Lytechinus pictus: one gene and its partner. The protein of the gene in region 1 purifies or fractionates together with the protein of each later gene. This does not show direct contact. Links are inferred from orthologs where the notes say so. Each region holds a gene or a part of one and is shown on either strand. Other genes may lie near its edges.

Region 1 (8,944 bases):
TATTTCCCTGAAGTCCTCCACCTCCTGGTTTGGGGGTTTTTGGTTTTGGTAATTGAATTCATGAGCATACTATATAGAAGGCAGGATTTGCACATTATTCAACATTTTGACTGTATTAACGTGTATCTAACATTACATTGGTTAGAGTGGAGACCCAAAAGATTATCTCTTCTTTGCGCACAATGTAATCCCACTTGCCCGATATAGGTACTATTTTTTTTTTTGGGGGGGGGGGGTGTCATTAAAAAAAAAAAGCTTAATCTAAATTGTATTTTAAAATGTGCCTTTCGTTAAATGCTCTGCATAATTATTAATACAATTATGATAAAGCGAATAAAGTTCATTTTGACTTTGCGATCGTTGTGATGTAAGCCGGTGTGTATAAAGTCGTGCATATAACATGTTAAAAATAAAGGCAAAGTCAATCCTTATAAGTTGGCTTAGACAAAAGGAGAAAAATCACCAAGCAGTATGTTGAATGTTTCATTGGAATCAAATGTAAATTTAGTTAAGATATTTTTAAACTTTGATCGACATCGCTTGATAATGCATCCAGTGGCCCAATAAATCCCAGACGTATTTGCCAGGTGTTTCAATGACCAGGAAATCGACGAATGAAAAAGACGAGAGACAAGCATCATAAATGCAAAAAATGTATTTAAAAAAATGAAATAGGGTTGAAAAAAAAAACGAGACACGCTTCTTCAAATATAGAAATAAAGTTCAGAGCACTAGGAACGATTTCAAGATGGGGGTGCTGGCGGTTTTGTTCAGGGGTTGTCGTCAGAAAAAATAAAGAAGAAAAAATGACAAGCAAAACAAATCCCCGTCGTTTGGGGGCAATAACCTTACTTTTTTTGCTTGTCATATCGATTTCCAAGGGGGTGCTGCCTATGGTAAATACATACACAGCATCCCAGCAACCTCGCTTCCCAGGGCCAAAAATATTATGTAAGAAGATATAGATAAGACCACAAAAGATGTAAAAATGACAGAAAAGTAAATATATAGGGGGAAATGAGGTCACTTTAAGTGTGAAATTGATTGCATATAGGTGAAAATGAAACCGTGATTAAACACAGAATTCCTTCTTCGACTCATACTTTGTTACATTGAATGACGGTTACTTTACTGTCAAACCGAATGAAATGAAAGCTAATTTGAATGATAATTTCGCTTTTTCCAATGATAAAAAATAGAAATGAACACAATACTTGAAACACGGGAAAAACGCTGAAGCATAATCTAATAGAATATCCTGTCAAAATTGGCCGGGAAAACTATATTACGATAGTGATTCCATTGTGCAGTTCAGCTTATGGTCAAGAGGTTTAACATTATTGTCTCAGAAGTGATTCCCTTTTTTTAATAAATAAAACAATTAAATATAGACTCTTTGAAAAAAAAATGGCACTCGCTGATTACAGTGAATGGCACATAAAGAGATAATAATCCTGACACTATCCAAGCTGTTGAAAAGTAAACTGTATTCTCCCCCTTTATTTTGCAATTTTGATTTCGCTTTTCACCATAAGTAGGTGCATAATCAGTTAGAGGAAAAAACAAACAAACAAACAGATCACCACTTTTTGTATTGTTTTTTTTATGAGAGCACAGTGTTCACCTTCCCTAATATATCTTTTATTTACATGACTTTTGTTTCACCCATTATTACAAAACCTCAATCGTAGAGGGGGGTATGACAACTTACTTTTCAGCGCATATGAATTGGTAAACAATGAAACGCGGAAATAACAGATGGGATTCAGATTCCATTAAAAGAAAGAGAGAGGGACGGGGAGGGGGTGAGAAAATTGGAGAACTCCATTTTTATGAGAGAAACACGGTGGGAAAAAGAAAGAAAGAAACAAAAGCAGCAACGGTGAGGGGGGGAGGGAGGGTCTATAGTCAGGCTCTGGAAAATATCAGGGGAGTCATCTCCCAGGATCAGAACAAACAACAACGACACAAAAAAAAAAAAAACCACACCAAGTCATCATAAGGGCATGTGTCATAAAGAAATACAACTACAATGACTTATTTGCCATTATGCAACTACAATGGAAACCGTGATTGTGATTGCATGGCTGCTGAGCACAACTTAGTTGTTACCATAGTTTCCATAATTATAAATGGTAAAGATACCATGGTTATCAAACGGGACCTAGGTCATAAGCATCTATTTTTTTTTACTCTTTAAATTTGAAATTTTCTCCCGGAATCTACAGTCACGAGTTTCACGACCCCTCATTTTGGCGCATATCACCATAACCGCACAAAATACCTTATTTTTACGTCCCGGCATCTGTTCCGCCCCGTTATCCCGGCCTGTGGGAAATATGCAACAGTTATTTCTTTCACTGATAATCCCAAACTCTGTAAAAAAAAATATAATATGAAAATAAAAGTTAAAAAAAAAATGACGAAGTCTGCATTTATCTTCTGCATGCTCTCAGAACTGAAAAGGGTCGTCTTTCATATCAAAATACAACATTGTTGACAGAACTATAGTATTGATACCAATATATGAGGCCTATATTTCTGTAAGGAGATGGTTAAGTAATTTTAGCCAATAGGGTAGGTTTATGGATCCCGGATTTCGTAAGGGGGGAATATCTGAATTCCGATCAGAGCAGATTTCTGGAGGCACATATATGCCTTAATCTGGTATAGTACTCTAGTAAAGTTGGACTGATACGCAAAATATACAGGGGCTGATTCAGCATTTGCTAATAACAAAGGGGAGGGGGGGGGGTGCTGGACAAGTTTAATCCATATATCACCAGGTCGGCCGCACGAAGAGCACCTCTTTTGTGGGGGGGGGGGGAGTAGTCGTAAAGATCGAAGTTTAAGTATGCTTTCATGTAAACGAAAAGCGCAAGTAGATTTATCTTTTCATTTATTAATATATATATATAATTATGTTAATGGTTAATGTATTAAAACCTATATGCATATCGAGCATAATAGGCCTATATTAATGCGAGCACGTAAACTGAAATAAAAATAAGCGCTTGTTTATTATATATATATATAATATAGGCAAAGAGATAATGCATTTATATAGTTCCAACAGAGTTTATTTCCAAGTCCAAATTTTCGACGTAAATCCCACGTCTTCTTCAGGGATACAATAAAGCTCACAGATTCCCATATATATATATATATATATATATATATATATATATATATATATAATCTATATATATGTATATATATATATATATATACAATGCGTCCCCCAAAAATATACACTTTTGAAATGGCTGCCAAATAAAAAATATATCACTTTTGGGAAAAACACGTACATACATGGAAGCCAATAAAGTCAACTTTCAAATGACACCAAAAAATTGGAAAACTCTTCATGCTTGAGCGAGCACTGCCCACTGAAACAAGGGGCATGAAAATTAGGCTGGGCCGGAATTAGCCTTCCAATTTCTGTCAGTTTTTGAGAGGCAAATCCTTTGGAACTTGCAAAGTTTAAGAGTGTTGTGATAAATTAATGACCAACCGTGACCAGTTTTGGTTGTTTAAGCAAATTTCATAAATTATTAAATTGAATTTTAATGCATGAGTGAACACAAATTACACTTTTTGGGCAGCATTTCAACTATATCATGTGGATCTCAGCAATGTGTTCATGGGAGTCGGGAGAATAAGGGGTGAGATATAACTTAAGTGGGAGAAGTAGGTTGATGGAATAAGGGTCAACAAAACATGTAGCCCCCCTCCCTCTCTCCCGCCCTCCCCTCCTGTAGAGAGACTGATTGCTATTGTCATGTACAAGTGAAGTCCAGCTAGAGCAGAATGCTGATTTAATGATAAATTCTGAATTGGGGCATCAACTTAATCCTATCAATCATTTGATCAACAATTTATCAATAAATAAACTCATTCAGTGTGCAATGTGATCAATCAAACATTCATTTTTTCAATATATTATTTCATAAATCATCATAATCAGTCAATTTCTTGGTAATCATTCAATGAAATAAAAAACTGACCATCAGCCACCGGTCACTTGGCAGTTAAGTTTTGAATAGGCTACACTCCAGGTGAGACCATGGACCTATACTATATAGCTATATAGTAGGTTCATGGTGAGACAGAGAGAGAGATAGAGCCGGGGAAATGGAGGTGGAAGGGGGGGGGGTACAAATGAATTTTAATTTGTAAAAGGACAAAGAAGAGGAATGCCCTTTTAACCTAGTCTTACCATATCTCGCCCTCTTGCTTGTAACATATACCATCACATTTGACTCTGACTCTCACGAACACACTGGTCAGGTCATACACTAAAATTACAATTCTTGCTCACTCATGCATTAAATTTCAATTTAGTAACTCATGAAATCTGCCTATAAGAAACCATACCTTATCTCACTCATTAATTTAGCATAACACCCTTAGCTTTGCAAGTTCCAAAGGACTAACCTCTAAAAAAACTGTAAGGCTAATTCCTGCCCAGCCTATAGCCCAGCTTAGTCTCTCAGGAGGAGAGAAGTAGTGGGATCTTTTTCTTTTCCCTTTTTTCTCTATCTTTTTTCTATTTCCTCCCCCAGCTCTCCCAAACTTCTCTCTCTCCCAATTTCCCCTTCCCTTTCTTTCTCCTCTCCCTTCCCTTTCTTTTCCTCACCCTCTCTTTTCCCTAAAGTTAGGAGTTGGCTTTATATATATATATATATATATTATTGTCTAATACTGATAAATTCTTTAATCTTTTTCTTTTCCTTCTCATATTCTCTCTTAGCTCCCGGCTCTCCCTCTCCATCTCTAATCTCCCCATTCCTTATCTTTCCCCTCTCCCTGTTCATTTGTTTCTTCTTTTTATCTTTTCTCCCTTCCTTTTCTTTTCCCCTCTTCCTTTTTCTTTGGGGGGGGGGGGGGGGGCAAGGCCCCTTCGGTCCCCGCCCCCATGCCATGCCTCGCAATTACAGTAGTGGAATACAATCGAATCAATGATCGTGAAATGAAAGAAAAAAGGAAAAACGTCAGGGAGGAGGTGATATTTCCGGCTTCTCACTCCAGTAATAATCAACATTTTATAAGTTTTAATTCAGGTAAGACTGAAAATTATCATATGTTAGTGTTCTAAAGAGTATGTGAGTTAATTTTCTGCTGGCCTATTGGTATTTTTCTGGCAAATACAGTGTAAAAACGATATATATTTCTCTAGCACCGGGTAAAAAAGTGAGCCTAGTCCCTTGTGCTCGATTTTATGTAGTGTTGACTTGTTATTATGCGGTAGTCAGTAGATAACGTTAGCATTATTTCCTTTTCGGCAGCAGTGTGGCAATTATTATTGTTATTGTTTCGTGTTAGGCATTCATTAAGGCGCTAATGCAGTTTCGCACCGGCCGATTACCAGCATACCTCATCACCAATAGGCCTACTTGTTCCCAAATCAAAATGTCATGACAAGTCTCTCTCAGACTCAGAGACTCAGACTCAGTCACATTTCGAGGTAAATATACCCACCTCTTTGCCAAATATCGTGATCGGGAATGGCTGTATTTCAGCTTTGATTTCGATGTCATTGTTCGAATCCTCAGAGTCAGACATCACTTCGCGGATCGCTTGGATTCGCCGTGCGCCGTAATGTTGATATGGACTGAAGTTAGCAACCAAATCATGCGAACATGTGGCGAACAAACTGCCAGCATGCTGCAGGCGAATCTTTTGGTTGCATAACTTCAGTCCATATCAACATTACGGCGCACGGCGAATCCAAGCGATCCGCGAAGTGATGTCTGAGGATTTGAACAACGACATCGAGATCAAAGCTGAAATACAGCCGATCTCGATATTTGGAAAAGAGGTGGGTATATTGACCTCGAAATGTGACTGAGAGACTTGTTATGACATTTGGGAACAAGTATTGGTGATGAGGTATGCTGGTAATCGGCTGGTGCAAAACTGCATTAGCGCCTTCATTAATATATTGCAAGGTAACTATAATAAAGTAATATCGACGTGTGAGCTCAAACTCGCGCTCGCTGGGCATCACTGCCACTGGCAATTGCTGTGACTGTTTGGCCGAATCGCTGCAGAGACAGTGCTGCAGCAGAGCTCTGCATGTGCCAGGCAATAGCAATGTGCTAACTCGGCCTGGGGAGCTCCGCCACCTCACTTTGAGCCTTGATTTTGTCGAGTCTCACAGCTAGTAGCCTGACCAAGTCTCGATCTCGACAGCTGGCAGCCGTGTCTGTTTCGAGGAGTTTTATAACATTTTTATAAAAAAATTCTCTGACTCTTACACAGACGGCTCGCTATCGTGCAGCCACCATTAGGGTTTAACAATGCAAAATCCCCCCGAAGGGGCTCATCAATTTTTTACTTTATTTAATTAAAATATATAAAAAGAACTGATTACAAAATAAAGATTATTATTCTGTTTTGGCCTGAAATGCACCAAAACGGGGAAAATAAACTTAAAAGGGGGAAAAAACAGTGACTTACTTCGGCTGTCGCTCAACTTCACTTCCCTGTTTTATGCGAACTTAACACATAAACATATGGCTGTTCAGTCCCTGTGCAGATTGAGCTAGAACTTCGGTGTCTGTATTTGGTATTAAAGTGGAGCCAACAGAGTTCAGCGGAACAGCCAACATAACAGTCAGAGACCGAAGCTTTTGGTCTAGACCAAGACATGCCGCTTGGCGACAGAGTTTCTCTATGATTGGTCTCGCAGCTTGAAACAATCGTTTCGCATTTGTAAGTTGGGAAAAAAATAAATATTGATTCTTCAGTTGAATACAGCATAAATTCTACATTTTCCGAGATTTGACAGGCAATCATATTTTTACAAGCCAGAGCAACACATTTATCAAACACAGTAAATGGTAATTCATCACAAGAAAGTCCCGATATCAACACCCAAATCCCATTTAAATGCTGAATCTGCGCCATATTTCCAAATCACGCAAGAAATATTTAGATCTTGCTTCTTGGTAGGTCTGGAACATGTTTCATAAAGAATTGATATAATAACATACGCACAATGTCTATAACAAGTTCACTATCAGCCAATCAGATTGAAGGATTTCAATAGCTTTTAACTGTTATTGAAATTTGTTTTTATAACAAGTTTTATGAAACAGAAATCAGGTAGGGTTACAATGACTTGTGGTGCGATGCACGTCAGTGGCACTCCCATGCAATGACATGTGACACTTATGCTGAATCACAGCGATGCCTTTAGTTTACAACAATAATATAACCTTTATTTTTTTGTCTTTTTGGTCTTTTTAAACAAGGCTGATTTTGCCAATTTGTCAATTTTCTTTTTTCATTGTTTATTTCTTCCTTTAATTCCATTAATAAGTTTCCTTAGGTACACAGTATCTCAAAGTACTCTATAGTTTTATGCACCGGATTAAACAAAATACTAAAAAATTAAAGAAAGCTCCACCTTCCTTCCACATACTCTCCCACCCTCTCTCTTTTGGTGTGGCTTGGTCGCTTTGCTCCCTTGCATTGTTTCTAATTTTAGGATAATTCTCTTGGCAAATCATAATACATCCCTGAATTTGATGTGAAGACCTGATAAAAGTAGTTAAAGATGGCAAATTCGTATTTCAGATGTTTTAAACAAAAAAAAAGGAGAATGAAATACTAAATGTTAAAGATGCATTTTAAGCATGGCACAAATAATGTAAGTGCAGGAATTGGTTGACTAGGTTTGTGGTACATGTTTCAGCATAAATGTGAAACAATCATTTTTACATTGTACTATTTGTAGAGTAGTTTACACAGGTACATGTGTCTGTAATGATGACAGAAACATTCAATTCACTGTTCATTTTATTTTAGACTGCATAGCCATTTGGTTCCCATACTCACTTAAAAAAAGACATCAGCTGCTTTGATACAGTAAAAACAAAGTGAAATTACTGCAATACATACAGCATTATTGACACTGTAGGCTTATTCATAAATTGGACGAAGTACAGCAGGGTACTATATAACTTTAGAAGCACTTGCCCGGTCGGGCAAGTAAATTTTTAAATAGTTGGAATATACTTGCCCGAAAATCTATTTCACTTGCCCGAAGAAATCCTTGAAAAAAAAAGTTTTACCTCTTCAAAGGAAAGTTTCTTTTAATATTTAACCCTAAAGGCACTGGGGGGGGGGGGGGCGTGATAATCTGAATTCTAAAAACAAAGAAATACATGTACATCAGGAAGAAATTTGCTTTCTCAATTTTTCTTTGTGGAAACTTTTGAATTACCGTAAGTAACGGTGTATTAACCGCACCTTTTTCTCGGCGGGATATAAGCAAAAGTCGGGGGTGCGGTTTATACACGGTGACGGGTCTGAGCCCGCCCGCGTAGCCCCTCCCGAACATGTAAGAAGTCTGCCAGTTCACAACACATCGAGTGGCCGGCCGTAGCCGCCCAGTGCAATGTCGTTTAGAGGGGTATGAGCCGCGGGTAATGGGTAGCGATTATTATGATCTTATGATCAAATACTGTCGTAACAAATGCACCCACCTTCATGACACTAATTTCGACTTTATTCTCGATTCAAAGCAGCGAAGTTCCCTGGCTAAGTTCATAGAGACGCCAAGCATTCTCGGTAATAATTTGTCACAGCTGAGCGAGAGCCAAGAGCTAGCTCGCGTTGTATTTTGGTTTTAGTGCGACTTAAGCTGGCGCTATTCATTTAATTTAACCCCTCAAAGTCCCGTTTCGCGCCAGCTTATTTTTTTCTTTCCCGTTTGCTTTTCATAAGATACCATGTACACCGTGCACCACGCACGATAGAGACGGCACGAAGCCGTCAAACAACTGGAAAAAATACAAATTTCTTTGTTTCTTGAACCTTCCTGTAATCCCGTATCCAAAATTCATGCTAAGACATCGAATGCTAGACAAATTCTGAAAGTGATTGTGAGGTTGTGATGCAAGAAATGTGAAAGACACAGATCACAATTTGATAA
Region 2 (8,685 bases), on another chromosome or scaffold:
CACAGATGATGGAGATGTGTATGCATGTATGATGAAGGTCTCAGCTCAGTAAGAAGTGAAAGTGCTTTCTGTCTATGAGGTATAAAATATTGCAATGTGTGTACATGTACCATTTATAAATGTAATGAATGGTACAAAGTAATCTAGGTAGGGTAATCCACTACCCAAGAGTAAGTACTGGTAAAAATACAAAGATCACTTGACATCATGTAGTGCCTACAATATGTACATACAATCCTTCACAAAGCATTTGGATGTGGCAATGTTTGTAAACATCCATCACCTGCTGGCATTTTATAAAGTCTTCTACAGTGTAAATTACATGCCAATCAACACCAGCACCATTGCCTAAAGAGATTACAAACACCACACATGATCCTTACCCTCTAGGAGATATCCCAACATTTACAGCAAAATATTATATTCCAAATGAGAGATGGATAATCCCTGCTACATATTATGAAGACAAGAAATACATAAGCCTACATACAGTGTGAGCAATGTTTGGTGGCTGTGAAACGCAATGAGATGGATTTGAAAGAAATGTACCGAGATGACTTGGTTACCGCACGCACACGCAGCATCTGGTGGTGACCTCAGACCGGAGTATTAGTCATAACACAGAGAAAGCTCAGTGCAGAGGGGAGTGGAGTGGAGCAAGTGTGGGGTCTCACATGTGATAAGGCCTTTGCCCATATATGAGCATGCTCCCTGCCCCGCTGACTGCCTCTCACCATCACGGCAACGAGCATCCTTGTCAGCATCACTTGGCTGCATCCAATGGTCCCTCGTGTGTAAAAGCAACACATCTGCTCTCCTGTTCATGTCTACAGTATATGTGTCATACATGTAGGTGTGAGGGTAAAACTAAGGTTTCCCAGAAGAGTGTTGGGAAGAAGGGGTGGGGCAGGTGGGAAGGGCAGGGTGTGGATTTTTAGAAAGAGAGGGGTGGAAGGCAGGGAACCAATCAAAAAGAAGGGAAGAGGAGAGAAACAATGGAAGAAAGGAGGATGCAATAAGGGGGAACAGATGAGAATGGCAGAATGTCAATATTATTAGAAGGGAAGATAAATGACAGGAAGGAAGAGAGAGAGAGAATGGAAGAGAGAGCAGTGGTGAGTGACACAAACAGACAGAGGAGATGGGTGAAAATGAGAAAGGGGAGAAGATGGATTTTTTATCAATAGAGAATGCAGAAAGGAGGTGCAACGAGAGAAGAGGAGAAGGATGGGGCAATGGAGATGTCATTGACGAGAGAAATGTGCCGTGGAATATTCATCAGCATCAAGAGGAAACACATACTGTCCAAACATGAGTAAAGGTGAAGGACCTATACCATAAATTCATGGTGGCATCCTTAGTCGAGAGGAAATGGTAGACCAGGATACATTACAATATCTAAAATCAAACAATATTTCAACAAAAGGAAGTCATCATTTTCGTTGCAGGAAAGTGAAGGAGCAATACTTGTTAAAGTGAACACAGATTCAATAAGATTTTGAAGACGGACTACAAAAAATATCACATTCACATGGTTAGGGCTATATATTTTCATTTTCCACCATGCAATTCATCTACTATCCAAAACTGTTGGTGTCTATCGCAGGTACATGTAGGTCTAGACACTGGAATAAAAATCTGATCTTGTGTATGTTATGGTTCCATGACATTTGCTCCGACGACAATTGTTTTGATGGAAAATCTGCACGTTTAGCCAAACATAAAACCTACATGTAGCCTCCGAAACTATATAAATTCCAATCCTTTTCTTAACATTACTTTTAACCAAAAACTCTATAACATTTACAATCTTAACTCTAATCCCATGCCCTCTGAAATATTTAGAGTGTAGCAACTGCCACCGTACCTGTCTAGCTACATGTACATGTAGTTATACTGGATGAAATGTGTGTCGGTACAAAGCACTGCCAAGTATTAAAAGTACAACACTAAACCTTATACCCTCAAAACCAATTGAGATGACGGAATGCAGAAGAGGGAGGAAAGAATTAATAATGTAATGATTGAGGAGCGGCAATCAGAGAAGTTCTTAGCATTCTACAATGTACATCACATCTTGATAACACTGCAAAGTACGTTCACAAAATTGAAATAAATAGATTTATATTGCTAGAAATAGCGGGATGATATCGGGGCTGATGGAGATCAAAACTGAACATACCATTCTGTCTACAGGCCCTCCTCACATACTGACAGTCACATTTTCTGACAACACAAATGATACTCCCACACACTCACTGTCATGATCACTACAAACTGTGCCATGCATCATCTCCATCTGAGCTGAATATATTGTTTCCAGAATGTCATCTCATTAAAACAGGGATGAACTCCATCAATGATAGAACCTCTGTTTGCTCTCTCTATGGTAGAATCAGGGCCCCTATGGGCTGGTTTTTACACTTTTATCAATAATACTAATAAATGCAATCAATCATAGAAGTCAGCCCCACGACAAATTACATGTAAGCTATTAAAGGCCTAGTTTGGCTATAAACATGAAAGTATCCTAGGGATAAGAACCTTTTCTTTATAAAGTTATGTGTAACTTGAATATTAACTGCAACAGGGCAAAAAACATAATTCTTTTTTTCATATCATTTTTAACCGAATCATGTTGACATAAAGAATGTTAATTTGAGTTTATAATACAACTCACAAGCAATATACTGTATGTTAAAGCCAATTCGGCAGTGCCACAATTCAACACTAACTTGCAAGTTGGTCAAACAATCACTCAATCGCAATCGCTCGTTACATCTTACTCTTAGAACTAAGAAAACTCACTGGCTTTCAATACTTGAGTTTGATAAATTCGATCGCAACTCTTTGATAGAAAGGGCCCAGACCTTTTTTTTTTACTTTATAAGATAGATAGTAGAATTTAGAACCATTTGGAGGCAACAGGAGCGGGGGCAAAACCCCTTGTCCTGCCATCAACCTCTCCCAAAATATCAGCAACATTCCTTCATGTATATCACCTGATATTTGAAAGTGCAGAAAGGGATGTGAAATCCTTTTTAATCTTTTTCACTCATTGGCCCCCATCAATCACTGACATACTGTAAATAATGGCACCATTTCACCTCCGATGACACTTCTTTCCATGCAGGCTAGTGCAGAGTATGGAGGTACATACATGAACATGTAATATTACTTTTTGATATCCCAAATGTATATTCACAGCACTGTGCAATACAGTGTTTCTTGTAATCCAACAACCTGGGTTTGAAACCAACAAACCAAATCAATGCGCTACATGTTTGTAAAACCCCCTTGGATAATAGAATACCCAGTAAAATTATGTTCAAAAGAAATCAATCATCACTACCAAGTACATATGTAGGCCTAGATGTATAGTGGAGAAGAACACTGGAACAAAAGGATAAACAATTTGCTCATCAAAATTTTACCTTCTTCTATAGGCTAATGAAGGTATAGGCCTATACATTTTGCGCTATCTATTAGTGCATACCGGTACATGGTATCTCTAAAGAGCAAAATTTCCATTTCTTTTTCTTTATAATCACCATCCAGTATGAATTTGATGCACTGATTGATATTCCAAATAACACTCATGGGATTTGAAGCCGGTACTATCAAAAGATGATAATGAGGAGCCTGAACATGCATTACAAATTTGCAGTCATAGTCTACTCAAATAAATGTGGCCAATATGTGAATCTCTTCCAATACATGACTTTTCTGCATGACTGCTCATTAATGCACCAGTTACAAGTATATTGCCTGCTACTGTAGGTGACATTTCATGGAGATAAAAACATAAATGAACATGACATAGCCTACATGTACATGTATGTGAGTCATCACACACACCACTGAATATCAGGGGCGGTATTCTGAGGTCGTTTTATCTTTAAAATATTTTATTTTATCTCTTAAAATGAAATTGGTATTCTGAGATGACATTTTATCTCTCAGATAAAATTTAACATTTTATCATGCTTATAAATTTTATCTTGCGTATCTATGATGATACGCAACAGAGCAGTGGCTGCGTAGACATACCCATCGCGTATCTGGCCATTGCAAAGCGGGTAATGTGCTTGCGCCCAAGTTACTTTGAAGAAAAAATAAAATAACCTTAAAAGAGGGTAGGGGCTATTTTATCTCCGCGACGTTGATTTCGTCAATATTTCTAGGTGAATTAACTCCAACTGTTGGCATGAAATTTAAGAGAAATTATAGATTCATTGAGAACAACACCTTAAAGTTATTCCTGTACAATCAGGAAGCATTTCTTTTCTTGACTAATATTGTCTTTGAAATGATGCTTGAAAAGATGCGATATAGACATCGATAAAGAGATGAGAGTAATGCAATTTTAGTTAAAAAGAAATCTCTGTAAAGACGCGCAAGCGTATAGTGCAAGCGTATTGAAGTCAATAAATTGACGCAATCTCACTCCTTTGCCACACCTCCTAGCGGAATGGATTTCCATTGGTTGAGTGATATGAGAGAGCTATAAAAGCGCGTTTCTAATTGGATATTGATTAAAAAATAGGTGTGTCTTACAGAGATAAAATGAAGATAAAATTGTTCTCAGAATACCAATTCGGAGAGATTTTAAGGGTATTTTATCTCACTGATTTTAACGGAGGTAAAATATTTTATTTTAACTGAGATAAAATGGATCTCAGAATACCACCCCAGGGCTTTTCAGGCCTACATACAAATACATATGTACATGGACCCTCCTGACCGCTCCCATCTGCCCCACCCCAAAGCAAACTTTTTATCTTCTAAAAAAAGGATGTGCATGAGAGTGTAGACCTGGGGAAACTGTTTCCCGGCGAAGTTCGCCAGTGAAACAGCCAGTATGAAAGGTAACCGGAGAACTTCTCCTCTTTGATGACGTCAGAGGTCATTTTTTTCTCCCCGAAATCCCCTGAACTGAGATTCCGCGCGCTAGCTACATGTAGCTATTATTTCCGTGGATAAATGTAGAAGGCCAAGCTTTATGAGCGATTCAATAATTCCATAGAGTTAAATACCCTCGAACATACAGTTTGTTTTTTCACTAACGATATTCATTATAAAAGCATTATTTTACATGCTGGAAATGCGCTTAAAATATCAAAATACTTTGATTTTTTTTTGGTTTTGCTTCTAATATTTCTAGAATTGGTTGTAATTTATATTTTAACACCTTTTTGTAATCGGTAAGAAGCAATGTTTACAATTCATTTTATTTTTGTTCGTTCTAATTCTGCATGCACCTGCTGAGTGAGCTGATCAGCAGGAGCAGCTGAGAAGTGTTTACCTGCCGTCATCTCCAAAACTTCACTGTAAGAATTAATCAGGTGTCTGCAATTAATAAGAAAAGAGTAAAATAAAAATTCAAATTAAAAAAAGCGCACGCTTTCATTGACACCGGGTCTGCACTTACTTCCGCCCGAGCAAATTACCAATCGCCTTTCGCCGGGGAAGTGCAAAAGGGTACATATTTTTTCTTCGCCGGGGAAGTGAGGAATGCATGCCAGAGAAGTTCGCCGGGGAAAAATGAAGAGACCAGTCTGAAAGGAGTAATAGATTACTTGCACACTGAAGAAATAGGATCCACTGTATAAGAATGTTTTTGATAGACCTCAATTTATTAATTGGTGTCGTTCATTCGCTCTGAAGTCCTGAAGCACCTTTAGCATAAATAAAGATGGAAAGTTCACCACATGTACAGTACATAGGCCTAAATCTTAATATTGAATTATTAATCATTATTTTTTATACTATCTGTATCATTTAGCTTACATGTAGATTTATTTTCATGTCCGCCTAGTGAGGTTGATACTCATGAGGATCCTGCTATTTCTTCCACTCAAATAAGCTATCATTCACTGCTCTGGATAGGCAATAAATAATTTGCAGTCAATGTCAACAATGCCAAGAATGCCACATTTCCTGGAGCATCCAGATTAACCATAAGACCAGACAGACAGAAATAGTCTTTCAAAATGGACATTATCATTCTTCGCATGTGAAATTAATAAATTTGTAACATTTGAAGAGCTTTGCCACCCCCCCGGAAAAAAAATTGATTACCGGTAGCCTTGCAATGTCCCTCTCTTTGGCCCTAAATAGGCCTATACATGTACATGTATTTTTTTGCCTTTTTCATTTCCCCATTTGCGTTGTTAATATAAAATGTGCCCTTGCCCTAAAAATACAGAAATACAAAGTATCTGTAGCCTCGACCTAATTCCCCTTACATGGGACCTACATTGATTGATTGATAGTTTATTTTGCTTTTAAGAGTGTCATCTGCACCAATCAGCCACATTTTACATAAAACCAATTATATTACCTAGCACACAATTATTAACAAGTAAAATCAAAGTACAAAAAATAAAGACAAAATAACAAATGGGTCTGATTTGCTTTTGGTGTAGACTAATATTCAGAGAGAGGGATGCCCAGATGGGGATCAGTCACAACTTCTTCATTCTTTAGATCTTGACCTCATTCATACAGAGGTCCTTGGTGTCATCTAAGGTCAAACACCAAGCTGTTTGGCATTCCACTCTCTAAATAAACATGATATGCTAATGATACCACAAGTCCATCCTTCATTTAGTCTGCTTATTCAGACATTATTATAGTTCACGATACCACAAGGAGTACATGTAGGCATACTATCAAGACCAACATGTATATACCTTTGAAAGTAGTGCTGTTATCAATAACCTCTTTATCGCTAGTCTTGTTGATAAACGCATGTTTTTTGCCACTTAGCAAATAGCGATATCGATAACTTTTCTCTCATTGTCGATAATACCTGATATTATGTAGGGACATACAGTTCAAAATACAAATTTCTGAGACTGACAAAGAAAAATTGAGAAATCTCAAGAACAAGTGGAATGCCTAGTCTAGCAGATCATAAAACGGGTCTTTATACTTGAACAACATTCTGGTGATATTTCAAAAACTTATGCTTAGTTCTATAGATGTTGACTACACCACCAACCTCAGAAAAGCGGCGCCTACATGTACATGTATGTCTCACTTCTGCCAATGTATGCAGGCAAGACAAACATGAAAAGGTTGAAAACATATATGTATTTTAAGGCATACATGTACATGTACATGTAGGCCTAAAAACAGCCTATTTAAATTCAAAGAAGACTTTTATTTAAACAAAAAAAACAAAACAACTGTAATGTTAGATTCATAGACACTGGTTAAGGACTTGGACTTGATTTTTTTTACTCTTCCTACAATGGGATGCAGGACTTACATGTAGGCCTAAAAAGCTGACTGGAGTACCGGGGGGGGGGGTACTTCCATTGACAAATGGATACCATGCATGACCAAAAATACACGTAAAAAGGATCTCTTTTTCAAGATAGGGCTTATTACGTACGTAACGTGTCAAAAACAATAAAATAATGAAAAAAGGGTATATATTTTGCTAGGAAAACTTTGTGTTTACGGTCCAATTTGCGAGGGTATAAAAAGACTATAGGCCTACAACCTGTAGATGTACTTTTTGCCCCAACACTACGTGCTTAGGGTCCAAATCGAGCGAGGTGTGTGGGGTAGTACTCCCCCGCCCAATGAAAGTAAAAGGTATAAGCAGACGTCCATGATCATGTCCGTGACAAACAGTTATTACAGACATTGTTGTACTTGTTAAGGGGCTCAATTCAGGGTTCTTTTCAAGGGTATCATTTTGTTTCCAATACTTGTTAAAGGTAAATGCTAGTTTTGGTAACGATATCAAAATGAGTTCGTACAGAATCCAATGAAATGACCACCAAAGTGTCTGTTTGTATAAATAAAACGCATGTGCCAAAGGATTCTGGAAGAAATTGTGTAATTGCTGAGAAATCAGCAAATAAGCACAGGATTCGGGTAGAGCGTCGGGCCCGACGCTCAAAGCAATAATTATACACTGTCCCACGTGCGCTTATCTGTGTTGGGGAAGTTCAGTCTGAACATTTTTCAGCGTAGATTTCAAGATTTCACAACATTCAGTTTATGTAACTGTACCAGATCTAGATCCTCGATGATATACTGACAATTAAGCCTGGTTTTACAGACTTTCTCATGAAATCAGTGTTTACTGCAACTACTGGAATTTCTCTTTAAGGGTAGGGTTTCACATGCCAATACTTGTTAAGGGGTGCAGTTTCAGAACATGGAAAATACTTGTTTGAGGTGCTTTTCGAAACCCTGTGGTTACGCATGGTTTCCACTCGTCAATGGAAGTGCCCCCCCCCCCCCCCGGGCTGGAGTATCAGAAGTATATATTGAAAAGAAATCCGGGAATCTGTACAATAATTGCAATAACGTTCCCTTCCAAGCTTTTTCCCCTTCTAAATATATGCAACATGGACACAGAATGTGTATACATGTACATGTAGGCTTACATCCTGCTACATGTACATGTACTGTCCACACACATGTATGAATATATGATTTGATTTGTTTTATTGATTTCCGTTTCACAATTGTACATAATTATGATAAATATAACATAACAAGGTGGAAAATACTGAAGACATAATAAAATATATACATAACATAATCTACTCTTAGATTTAAGGAACACAATTCAATGAATAAATATATTTGGGTTTACAAAAAAAAAACATTATAAATGCAAACAAACATCGGCCCAAAAAAACTGTTAGCAGGTAAACT

Evidence for each region.
Region 2: the proteins of tyrosine-protein kinase CSK-like (region 1) and leupaxin-like purify together in Homo sapiens (affinity purification with mass spectrometry; 4 studies listed by BioGRID and IntAct, with this or other methods). This does not show direct contact. The link is inferred for Lytechinus pictus from reciprocal best matches to the Homo sapiens genes CSK and PXN.

What each region holds. Positions count from the first base shown.
Region 1 is NC_087249.1:16,399,588-16,408,531, reverse strand, and holds the start of tyrosine-protein kinase CSK-like, read left to right. Parts: upstream 1-4,972; 5' UTR 4,973-5,063; intron 5,064-6,530; 5' UTR 6,531-6,717; intron 6,718-8,151; exon of another isoform or gene 8,152-8,234; intron 8,235-8,944. UniProt on the Homo sapiens protein: Non-receptor tyrosine-protein kinase that plays an important role in the regulation of cell growth, differentiation, migration and immune response.
Region 2 is NC_087246.1:21,755,787-21,764,471, forward strand, and holds the start of leupaxin-like, read right to left. Parts: upstream 3,371-8,685; 5' UTR 406-3,370; coding exon 384-405; intron 1-383. UniProt on the Homo sapiens protein: Cytoskeletal protein involved in actin-membrane attachment at sites of cell adhesion to the extracellular matrix (focal adhesion). Recruits other proteins such as TRIM15 to focal adhesion.